Caenorhabditis elegans: one gene and its partner. The protein of the gene in region 1 purifies or fractionates together with the protein of each later gene. This does not show direct contact. Each region holds a gene or a part of one and is shown on either strand. Other genes may lie near its edges.

What was found. The genes of interacting proteins can lie anywhere in the genome.
Region 2: the proteins of tpp-2 (region 1) and upb-1 fractionate together in Caenorhabditis elegans (co-fractionation; one large-scale study listed by BioGRID). This does not show direct contact.

Annotation. Positions count from the first base shown.
Region 1 is NC_003280.10:6,092,050-6,099,525, reverse strand, and holds tpp-2 (Tripeptidyl-peptidase 2), read left to right. Parts: upstream 1-1,928; 5' UTR 1,929-2,094; coding exon 2,095-2,205; intron 2,206-2,297; coding exon 2,298-2,402; intron 2,403-2,451; coding exon 2,452-3,401; intron 3,402-3,448; coding exon 3,449-3,676; intron 3,677-3,723; coding exon 3,724-4,514; intron 4,515-4,567; coding exon 4,568-5,038; intron 5,039-5,083; coding exon 5,084-5,321; intron 5,322-5,367; coding exon 5,368-5,711; intron 5,712-5,759; coding exon 5,760-6,646; 3' UTR 6,647-6,770; downstream 6,771-7,476. Other genes in the region: rbbp-5 (Retinoblastoma-binding protein homolog 5), read right to left, coding at 1-24, 174-1,024, 1,077-1,324, 1,373-1,483, 1,623-1,694; nspg-3 (DUF19 domain-containing protein), read right to left, coding at 6,771-6,981, 7,030-7,126, 7,170-7,324, 7,444-7,476. UniProt on the Caenorhabditis elegans protein: Component of the proteolytic cascade acting downstream of the 26S proteasome in the ubiquitin-proteasome pathway. Has a role in regulation of fat storage.
Region 2 is NC_003280.10:6,287,900-6,291,836, reverse strand, and holds upb-1 (Beta-ureidopropionase), read left to right. Parts: upstream 1-1,739; 5' UTR 1,740-1,745; coding exon 1,746-1,855; intron 1,856-1,900; coding exon 1,901-2,009; intron 2,010-2,223; coding exon 2,224-2,801; intron 2,802-2,845; coding exon 2,846-3,038; intron 3,039-3,152; coding exon 3,153-3,326; 3' UTR 3,327-3,425; downstream 3,426-3,937. Other genes in the region: nyn-3 (RNase NYN domain-containing protein), read left to right, coding at 1-47, 103-164, 216-326, 422-540, 599-813, 859-1,185.

The sequences.
Region 1 (7,476 bases):
GAAGATTGTCCAAATTTCGAATATCTGAAAATTACATTTTAATAATATTATCTCGAATATGTTATATCTTAATGCAAATTTTATTTTTTTGTTTTATAAATAAATATTAAATTTGTAAAACTTTCTTCTATAGTTGGAAAAAATTATTTTTGAAGTATTCAAGTTTAACTGACCATCAGGAAGTCTTTGATCGTTGTCTGCATTTTCTATGTCCAATGGAACTGGAATATACCATAATGGACCTGATTCTAAATTCCTTGCCGGTTTCATGATATTACAATCTTCCTCATCCGAACTAGCAAGGTAATCTTCAGGCCGAACATTGACTACATCAATAATATCATCTTCTGCATCTTGACTTTTACTAGTCATGTCTTCATCGGCATCCTCATCTTCCATATCAAATTCATTTTCTTTCTCAATATACTTTTCGTTTTCTTCCAGTTCTTGAAATTCTGGAGCAAATGCAGACCAGTTTTCAACATGAGCTTGGGTCCACATTGAAACGGTTCCTTGCGCAATTGATAATATTATTGGACGAGTTGGGTGCCACTGAACATCTAGAAGAGCTTCTCCTTTATTTCCGTGTAGAATCTTTATGAGAGATCCTGTGTTACTCTCCCAAATATACAATGAATGTGCTTTTGTTGATGCTCCACAGACATACAATCCATCACTATCAGTACACACATTCTTCCATGCAGCCTTGTTCACCATATCGAGAACCTTATACTTCGCTTCAACCATTTGTCCTCTTTGATGAAGAAGATCTTCAAGTTCATACGTTCGAATTACTCTATCCTGTGTATTTGTTATGATAAATCGACTCTTCATTGGTACAATTATTTGTCTTATTTGTTGAACAGTGTTTTGTTTACACCAAGCGACACATTTCAGAGTTTCCGCATTATAAATGAGCAGTTTCCCTTTTCCGGTTCCAGCAATAATGTATTTTCCTTTTCGATCATAAGATACGCAGCTAGCCGACTCGTCGCTTGATCCAGGAGTGTCGTTTGCAAGAACTCTAAAAAGTCAAATTAGTATCAAAATCTACATAAAGGAAACCTAAAACTTACGTTTGAATTCTCGGAGAAAATTGCTCTACCGTTGGCTGTTTATTCACTTGAAGAACGATCGCTTTATTGTCATTTCTGGGATGAAACATTGCAAATGTAACCATTGAGTTAAAACGGATTCTGTGAAGAAGAGTTCCGGCAAGTACATCAAACATTGCAATGGAGTTGTCAGCAGAACTTGTGAGAAGTTTTCTACCATCTCGAGACCATGATAAACAGCTGACCGGGAGACAATGGGCGGAAAATGTCTAAAATTCTAAATAATTAGTTTGCATTGAAGAACAATTAATTCTCACTCTGGCAATATTCCTGGTCATAAAATCGTAAATCAGCACCCTGCCATCAGTACAGCCAACAGCAACAATACTTCCCCATCGATTAAATTTGCAGCAGTTCGCAGAGGCATTCTGAAGTATAAAAGGTTCGAATAAAAATACAACAAATCGCTGTTTCATGGAAACTTTAAAAAACAACCCGGCGATCTTAATTAGAAAATCATGTTGAAAACCTAAACTGTATTCCAGTAAGTTCGGAAAATTAACAAACCTGCAAGTCAAGATGGCATTCAAGTTCTTCTGGAAATTGAGCCCCGTATGTTCGATCGAGTATTTCGACCATTTCTGGAAAAATAACAGAATTGAATTAATTCACCCAATAAACAAATAATAAGTTTAAAATATATGTTTGCGATAAATAAGTACTTTAATTATGTTGAATAAATATTAAAAAGTCGTTCAATCAATGCAAAAATTTTTAAATATCGTAATATGGCCGAGGAATGCCCTCGTCCGCGGAGCATGCTCGGCCGTGTACTCCTCCAGGGAAACTAGCCTGTTTTTGTCACCATCGTTCATTTTCTCTTTTTTTTCACAATTTGTGTTCGTTCTGTTTACCAGCAACTGTCGTTTGAAAAATTGTTTTGCAGAGAGCTTTGGGTAAAAACAATATAAAAATAGATAAGTAGCACACCAAAAACGCTCGCCTAAAGCAGATTTTGAATCATTTTGTTTTCGCATAAATGATAGTGATAAGAAACTGGCAGCGTATTAGCTATTTATCATTTTGTCGATTTTCAACTCGATCACTGTCAATTCAGCAATTCCAGAAAACTCCTCTGTTGCTGGTAGTGGTGGGTATTAACAAATTTATTCATTTAATACCAGCTTTTGCTAGACTATTAATTAACTACAACGTTTCATAATTTTTTACGTTCAATTTCAGAGGCAACAAGGATCTGCACGTTTAAAAATGACTTCTTCTCCTCCTGAAATAGTCCCGCAACAGCCATTAGATGCGTTGCTTCTCAACAAGACGGATACAGAGCAGGTTACAATTTGATATTTTTTTAATTTTAGTTCCAATGGTTTATTTTCAGGAAATATTTCTCACAAAATACCCCAATTATGATGGAAGGGATATTTTGATTGCAATTCTGGATACAGGAGTTGATCCATCGTTGCCGGGAATGCAAGTTACAACAACCGGAGAAAGAAAAATGTTTGATGTTATTGACTGTTCTGGAGCTGGTGATGTTGATACCTCGATCACAAGAACTGTCAAAGATGGAGTTATTGAAGGAATTTCTGGACGAAAATTAGCGATTCCAGAGAAATGGAAGTGCCCAACTGGACAATACCATGTAGGACTGAAGCCAATCTTTGAGCTCTACACGAAGGGAGTGAAATCTCGTGTTATCAGCGAACGGAAAGAGGATGTTGTTGGACCGTCTCATAACATCGCAGCTTCGGAAGCTTTGAAACAACTTACAGAACATGAAAAAGTAGTTGGAGGTACCAGCGAAAAAACTTCAGACAAGTGGGCAAGAGAAGACTTTGCGTGCAAAGTTGATTTCCTGAAATCAATGGCTTCTGTAGCCGATGTTGGACCAGTTGCTGATGTCGTCACCTGGCATGATGGTGAAATGTGGAGAGTATGCATTGATACATCTTTCCGTGGACGATTAGGATTGGGCAATGTGCTCGGAACGTTTCGTGAAACTGGCGACTATGCTTATCTTACTAATAAGGATTCTGTTGTGTATACTGTGCGAGTGAGTCCCGATGGAAACCTCACGGAAATCGTCGTCCCATCTGGTGCACATGGAAGCCATGTTGCAGGAATCGCTGCTGCAAACTATCCAGATAATCCTCAAAAGAATGGACTTGCTCCAGGAGCAAAAATTCTCTCACTAAACATTGGAGATCATCGTTTGGGAGCTATGGAAACTGGACAAGCAATGACGAGAGCATTCAATATGTGCGCCGAGTTGAACGTCGATATCATTAATATGTCATTCGGAGAAGGAACTCATTTGCCGGATGTTGGGTAAGACATCGTTAGTCTATTGCTCAGCGTTCAGAGATTTGTTTCAGACGCGTCATTGAAGAAGCTCGACGATTGATTAATAGACGAGGCGTGATCTACGTTTGCTCAGCTGGAAATCAAGGACCTGCGCTTTCTACTGTCGGTGCTCCTGGTGGAACTACAACTGGTGTAATTGGAATTGGTGCTTATTTAACTTCCGAATCAGCTGATACGCTCTACGGTGTTTACAAGCCTGTCGAAAGTAGTATTTACCCATGGAGCTCTAGAGGACCATGGTAAGTTTTTTTTCAGTGTTCTTGAATTTAAAACTTTCATTTTTCAGCCAAGACGGAAAGCTAGGAGTTAGTCTTGTGGCTCCAGCGGCTGCATTTGCTGGAGTTCCTCAATATTGTCGCCAAAGTATGCAAATGATGAATGGAACAAGTATGAGCTCTCCCAATGCAGCTGGAAATGTCGCTTGTATGCTGTCAGGATTGAAGCAGAATAATTTGAAATGGACTCCATACACCGTTCGCATGGCATTGGAAAATACTGCCTATATGCTTCCACATATTGAGTCATTTTCGCAAGGACAAGGAATGATCAAGATCGCCACTGCGTATGAAAAACTTTCCGAGATTTTAGTCAATAAAGTGTTCCCACCAAGACTGACACATTTCGAGATCAATGTATCGAATCACTGCAAGAAATCGAAAGGTGTATATGTTCGTGAGCCTAACTGGAATGGACCGCAGGAATTCACGATTGGCGTTGAACCAATTTTCCAGAATCATCTATCTGATAACAATTTACCTGCAATCAGTTTTGAGAAACAGATTATTTTACAATCAACTGCTCCATGGGTTTCTCATCCACAAACAATGTTTGTGGTAGCTCAAGAAAGAACAATGGTTGTGACCGTTGATGCATCAAAAGCACCAAAAGGTGCAAACTACACTGAAATTGTTGGAATTGATACGGCTGATCCATCATTGGGACCGATTTTCCGTATTCCGGTTACTGTAATCAATCCTGAGAAGGTAGCGGTTGATCAATACACTTCTAGACTTGTTGGTAAATCGGGAGTCACCGAAAGACGATTTGTCGAAGTACCGTCGTGGGCAACCAGTGCAAGTAAGTAAAAAATGAAAATTAAAGAAAATTCTATTAATCTCATCATTTTACAGAGATAACACTCCGATCTACTAACAAAGACGAAATGGATAGATTTACACTTCATACGGTCTACATTGAGGATGATAAATGTTCCCGAAACACAGAAACTCAAAAAATACAGGGTCCAATTGGAAATGAATGGAGCAAGTCGATTACTGTTCAAGGTGGAAAGACTCTTGAAGCATGTGTTGTTCGTGCTTGGTCACGTGGAAAGAATCCTGTGGATGTTGACATGACCATCGACTTCTTTGGAGTCAAAAAGCCAACTTCTATTTCACTGATTCATGGAGCAACTAACACGCCCATTCGCTTCCAAGCTGCTCCAACGAAAAGTATCGACGTTTCTCCTTCGATTTCTCTAAAATCACTTGTTGTATCACTGAAACCACAATCTGCCAAAGTAGAACCATTGGGACCACGTGATATGTTCCTTACGTCTGGACTTCAAATCAATCGTCTTCTGTTGACTTATCAGCTTAAAGGTAACCTTTTTTAACTACATAATTATTAAAATATTATTTTTTCAGTTCAAAAACCAAGTGAAGTGCAACTTCAACTTGCTGGCCTTACTCCATATTTGTATGAATCTCCTGTGGACTGTGTACTCTTCCAAATTTTCGGAGCAAACAAGTCGTTTGTGGGTGCTTCTTCTTCGTACCCGGATCGTTGGACTCAGAAGCTTGAGAAAGGAGATTATACTATTCAGGCTCAGATTAGATATCCGGATGATCAAGTTTTGCAAGGAATGAAGGAACTTCCTCTGCTGTAAGTAATTCTTTAAATTCTAACTGAAATGATTTTTGTGTTTCAGTGTTCATGTGAAACTTGGAAACAAAATTTCTGTTGACCTCGCAGCTTCTGCCAGCGATGCAACACTTGGAAAAGAGTGCAAATTTGCTGGAAAAGCCCTTCTTCCAAATCAAGAAATGACCGTCTACGCTATGAATATCGCTGATGATAAATTGCCAAAGACTATCGTACCAACAAGTGGAAGTTTCCTTGCTGGAACATTTAGTGCTCTCAAGGATTCTGATTTGAGTGATGTAGACAAATCTGAAGTTATTTACTTTCTCAGTGAGTACTCTACTCGTCCTACGAAAGGATTGTCAATGGTTACAACAAAGAAAGATACGAATCAAAATCAGGAAATGACTGGTAGATAATAATTAAAAATTGTATCTTTTATTAAATTCATATTTACAGACGCCATTCGCGATTTGGAAGTATCATGGGTGCAAAAATTGACAGACGAAAAGGCAGCGAAAGAATTTTTCGAAGCTTGTCTGCAGAAGTATCCAGATCATCTCCCACTACTTCAGAATCGAGTAAAGCAATTGATGCAAGCAAAACTTGTGGATCAAACACCGGAAAACGTGCAGAAGATTATTGAATTATGTGGTCAAATTTTGCAAATCACAAAACCGAATGAAACTCTTCAGTTCTCATCCGTCAAGCAAGAACATGATGATGATCTCCTTACTGTTGACAAATGGCTGGCACTAACCGGAGGCAGTGAGGACCAGCGAAAGGATGTGGTGAAGTTGATTTCACAATTTGAGGAACGGAAGAAAAGTATTATTCTCGCTTTGCAAGCTCTTTCATCATTGGAGCAGGATATTGAAGTTCGTAAGAGCAAGTTCGACGTTCCAGCAAGTCTTCGTTTCGGAGGAATCACTCCTCTAATTTTCGGTGGAAAGCAAGGAGAAGTGATCAATAAGAAGTCTGAAGGTTATGAAGCACTGAAATCAAAATCTGAACAAATTGATGCAACTGTCTCTGAAGAACTGAAAAAGTTGGATAGTAATTGGACTGGAAATCAGTTTTACGTCAAGCTTCTCGTTTGGTTGTCTGCTGATGATACTAAAACTGCACTGATCTCTGCCAAACATGCAGCTGCTCTTGGACAATTTGGAAGATGTGCAAAGCTTCTCAACAAAGCTGGAGATGAACTGAAGTCGTCTGCTACTGATTCGCAAGCTGTTGATACATCATTGGCTGAAGTCTGCGAAAGTCTCGAGTGGAATCATCTTGCTACTCACTTTAAAAATTCGGCTCTGATCAAAAACAGAACCTCCTACCGTCTTTTCTAATTAGTGTATCATAAGAAATTTCGCGGGTTTCTTTTTTCTGGAAGCTTTTTTGCTTCCATTTCCGTTGTGAATCAAATGATTTTCCCATTTGAATAGATAAACTTTTATTGTTTTATAAATGAGATCAAACAAAAATTTTGCAGAGATACATTAAAATTATTAAGAAGAAGAATGTTCGAGGTTGCGACGAATTGATGCATGGCATGTACTCACAGAAGTTCCACCCAGTCATGTGGGTGAGAATCTTCTGATATTGGCAGTATGATTTGACAGCACTATTTCCACATGATTTTCTCACTACTGCTCGCTCACATTGTGTGGTTCGTGATACGGAGCTCAAAATTAAAAACTAATCTCAATAAGTCTGAAACTATTAGACTCACTCGCAACTGCCAACTTCCAAAACGGAACATTCAGTATAAATCGTGTCAGAGAGATCATTCAAACTGATTGCTTGCATACATTCATAATATGCCACAACTGAAATATTTATAAAACAATGAACGAGAATGAAAAACCTCACAATCATTTCCATAATTACAATAGAATTCAAGAAACCCCGTTTGTGAGATGTAATAAGCTGCATTGCTTTCTGAACCAAAAATTGCATTGAAAGTGTTATAGTTGAGACAATCATTGATGACGTCACTATGACAGTGACGTAGAGTTGTATATGTACTGTAATTATTCGTCTTTTTTAAAAATATTTATTCTAGCATGTAAAACCGGTTCTATTGAAATTCTTCAATAATTTTACAATTTAAAAGGTGTTGCAATGTTGTAATACCTTCACATACCTACACATTCCAGTGGCATCGTACCGAATTTTC
Region 2 (3,937 bases), 200 kb from region 1:
ACAACAATGTTAATAATTATAACTCGAAAAATGCGGAACTACTTGCAGTAAGATAATCTTTGTTCTCTAGGCTTTTTGGATTCTGATTTTTGATTTTCTCAGAAATTGGAGCAACTTGGTATTGTGACATTCACGCCGGCTAGAAGTGGTCGGGGACTACGAAAGTGAGTCAGAGTCGGAATGAAGTCAATGTGGGCAAGTCACGTGTTTTTCAGGGCGTTTATCAATTATGATGATTTGTATGTGGTTTCGTATGCAGCCAGACATGGAGGTACAATTGTCAGTGGAGACAAGTTCAAAGATATTCTCAATCAACCGTGTTACAGGTAACATTCCTATCATATTGTAAACTAGACTAGGACTTTTTCGGCTTTTTTAAAGCTATGCATTAAATTCAAATTTAATATTACACTGGTTTTAGTGACTTCCACCACGTCATCAGAAACCGAACAGTCGATGTAAAATTCCGACCGCTAACACTCGATTTCGTCGAATATCAATCAGATCGGTTTTATCGACATGCTCCCGAACTATTCACATGTAAGAAATTATTTCTATTTTTATAATCGAACATCATCTAGAATCTTGTTATTTTCAGATGAAAACACTAGTCAACGAACCGAATCTTTGCGTCAACGACTATTTGCGTTGCCTCATGAACCGGACTATAATCTTGTGAAAAATTCGAAACGACAAGTGACTGATGAGAGGAGAGCTTACTTGTGTGCTGAACTTGAAGCTATTCTCATTTCAATGAGTTATGCAGCCGGGAAAATGTTTCGAGATGTTGCAGAATTGCCATGTATTGATAATGTATGTGTACTTGTCCAATTGCCAAAAAATAAGGAAATATTTCAGTGTTTTCATGGATTAAGAGTGGAAGATGTTGCTCCGAAGAAATTTGCGGATGCATTCTACAGAAAATATCCGAAACGAGAAGGAAGATGTGATTTACTTCAAGAATGGGTTATGGAGCCTGTTGTAGAAGTTTCTGAGAAACAAACAAATAGCAATGAACTAAGTGATGATGTTCTTGTTCCAACTCCATTGCCTCTCCCGGAAAAGTCTAGTCAATCTGTCGTGAATGTTAATAAAGGAAAAATCGAACTTCCAAGAGATCATTCCCTTGGGTCGTTGCTTCAATGGTTCACACTGGCTGAAGAAGCAAATAAAATCAAGAAATAATAATCGAAATATTGATTTTTGATTGAGATCTGTTTCATTTTTACAAACAATTCGATAAACGTTTCGATTTTTTGCATGTTTTCTTTTTTCTATCTCTCGATTGATATCTTTGAATGACCTGACGGGTGCACGTGTTGAGACAGCTGTCGTTCTGAGAGGACAGGAGACTTTAAACTATTCAGTTAGGATCTCTTTAACATCAGATACTTTTGCTTTTTTGCTCTTTCTTGTTTTCTCGAAGATTCGCAGAAGAATCAAATTTGCTGGTCTGATACATCTTATCATTTCGGTCTTGATAAGAAGTTGAAAAAAAATTTGGTGTTCGCCGAAAAAAAGTTTCTCTTTTTCCTTGATTAAATTCTATTTTCCAATTGATAACACCACTTTCTCTTTAAATGGCATTCAAGTTCCGATAAATTTAAGGTCAAATACTGCCCAATAAATAGTGTTCATTCAATTTTAATGTGAATTCATTTTCTTATCTTGTCTTATCGCAATTTGTCCATTTTCACTAGAAACATCATATCTTTATATATTTATTTTATCTTATTCAGGTAAAAATGTCTGCAGCTCCGGCTCAATTCGATGGCGTTGAAACTGCTTTGGCTGAAAAATTGGACGGAGTTTCTTTAGATGAAGTCGAAAGAATTCTTTATGGTAGACCATACAGGTTTGTTTAAAATATAATGAAAATTCGCAAATACTTTATTTTCAGAGCACTGGAAATTTCTTCTATTGCGGAAAAACTAGCACAAGATGGTGATTTCCAACTGTCTGGATACATTGTGGACGCTCAAAAAGAACAAACAAGAGCTCCAAGACTGGTGAGCAGAAATTATAAAATTAAATTGTTTTAAATAACTTTTCTGATAACCAATTTTGTAGAAAGGAAGAATATTGTTATGGGAGATGTTCTGTCTGTTTCTCGTATTTAGCTTTTCATTCTTAATCTTTGAGCACTGCAAATATTAGGTGGAAAAAGAGAAAAAGAGAGTCCCAGTTTGTTATATATATTTGAAAATATTACCATTTTTTAAGGTTCGCGTTGCCGCTATTCAAAACAAAATCCACCGTCCAACTACAGACAGTGTCGTTGAACAACGTGATGCAATTCATCAACGTGTCGGAGCAATGATTGAAGCTGCTGCTTCCGCTGGAGCTAATGTTATTGGACTTCAAGAAGCTTGGACAATGCCATTTGCATTCTGTACTCGTGAACGTCTTCCATGGACAGAATTCGCAGAATCTGTATACACTGGACCAACTACACAATTCCTTTCTAAATTGGCCGTGAAACATGATATTGTGATTATTTCTCCAATTTTGGAAAGAGACGAAGAAAAGGATGATGTTATTTGGAATACAGCTGTTGTGATTTCTCATACTGGACGGGTTATCGGAAGATCTAGAAAGAATCATATTCCAAGAGTTGGAGATTTTAATGAATCTACATACTATATGGAGTCCACACTTGGTCATCCAGTTTTTGAAACCAAATACGGTCGTATCGGAATCAATATTTGTTACGGACGCCATCATCCACAAAATTGGATGATGTACGCTCTTAACGGTGCAGAGATCATCTTCAATCCATCAGCAACAGTTGGTGCTCTCAGGTTTGTTGATTCAATATTGAAACATTAAAAACATGGAAATTTAGTGAACCACTCTGGGGTATCGAAGCACGAAATGCTGCCATTGCCAATCACGTCTTCACAGTTGGAATTAACCGCGTGGGCACTGAAGTCTTCCCAAATGAATTTACCAGTGGAAATGGGCAACCAGCGCACAAAGACTTCGGTCACTTTTATGGATCCAGTTATATTGCTGCTCCTGATGGTAGCCGTACTCCAGTGAGTTTATTGAGGTTAAACTTCAACAATGAGTAACTGCTCAAAAATTTTTATAACTGTTTCTCTCTTTTAAAAAAAAATAGCTTGAACAAATCTGATACATATTTTTTTCAGGCATTATCTCGTGTTCGTGAGGGAGTTCTCATTGCTGAACTCGACTTAAATCTGTGTCGTCAATGCAAGGATGCTTGGGGATTCAGAATGACAAACCGTCTCGACATGTACGCTCAAAAGATTACGGAAGTTTCCAACCCGGACTATCGTCCAGACATCAGAAGAGAGCAATGAATCAGTTTTGTTGTTGACATTTCAATTTATGGATGATTTTTCTTTGTTTTCTATCACCTGATTATTATTTGAATCGTAAATAAATGTAATTCAATTTAGCTCATGATTTGAACTAATGAGGTGAATAGTAGTAGATCAGAAGAGGGAGATGACTCAACTTGTTGTACTTGATAAACTTTAAAAGAAGCAATCATGTGGAAGACTGAAGCTTTATAAACTTACTTACTAGTTAGGTGATATATACTTCAGCTCTTTTGCTTTTTAAAAGAAGTTTTCTTTAGATATTTGATAAGATATTTATTCTAGTGATAATATTTTTGCTGTCGTTACTGAGGCAACATATAGAGAAACTAGGCACCAATATTATAATCACTAGTTTCTGATAACCGCCCATCTCATGTTATTTTCCCTTCTTCTTGAGAATTTTTCCTAGTTCGCAGTAAACCAAAATTATTTTGGAATTTTCGTACTACTTTTGAATAACTATTAGATACTACTTTAAAGGTTTTGTTTTGTATTTTGAGATTTTGTATGCGGTATTGTTAATTTTTGTCCCATACCAGACTACTCTGATTGCCGTTCATCCAAGAAAAATGCGTTTATCTACAATT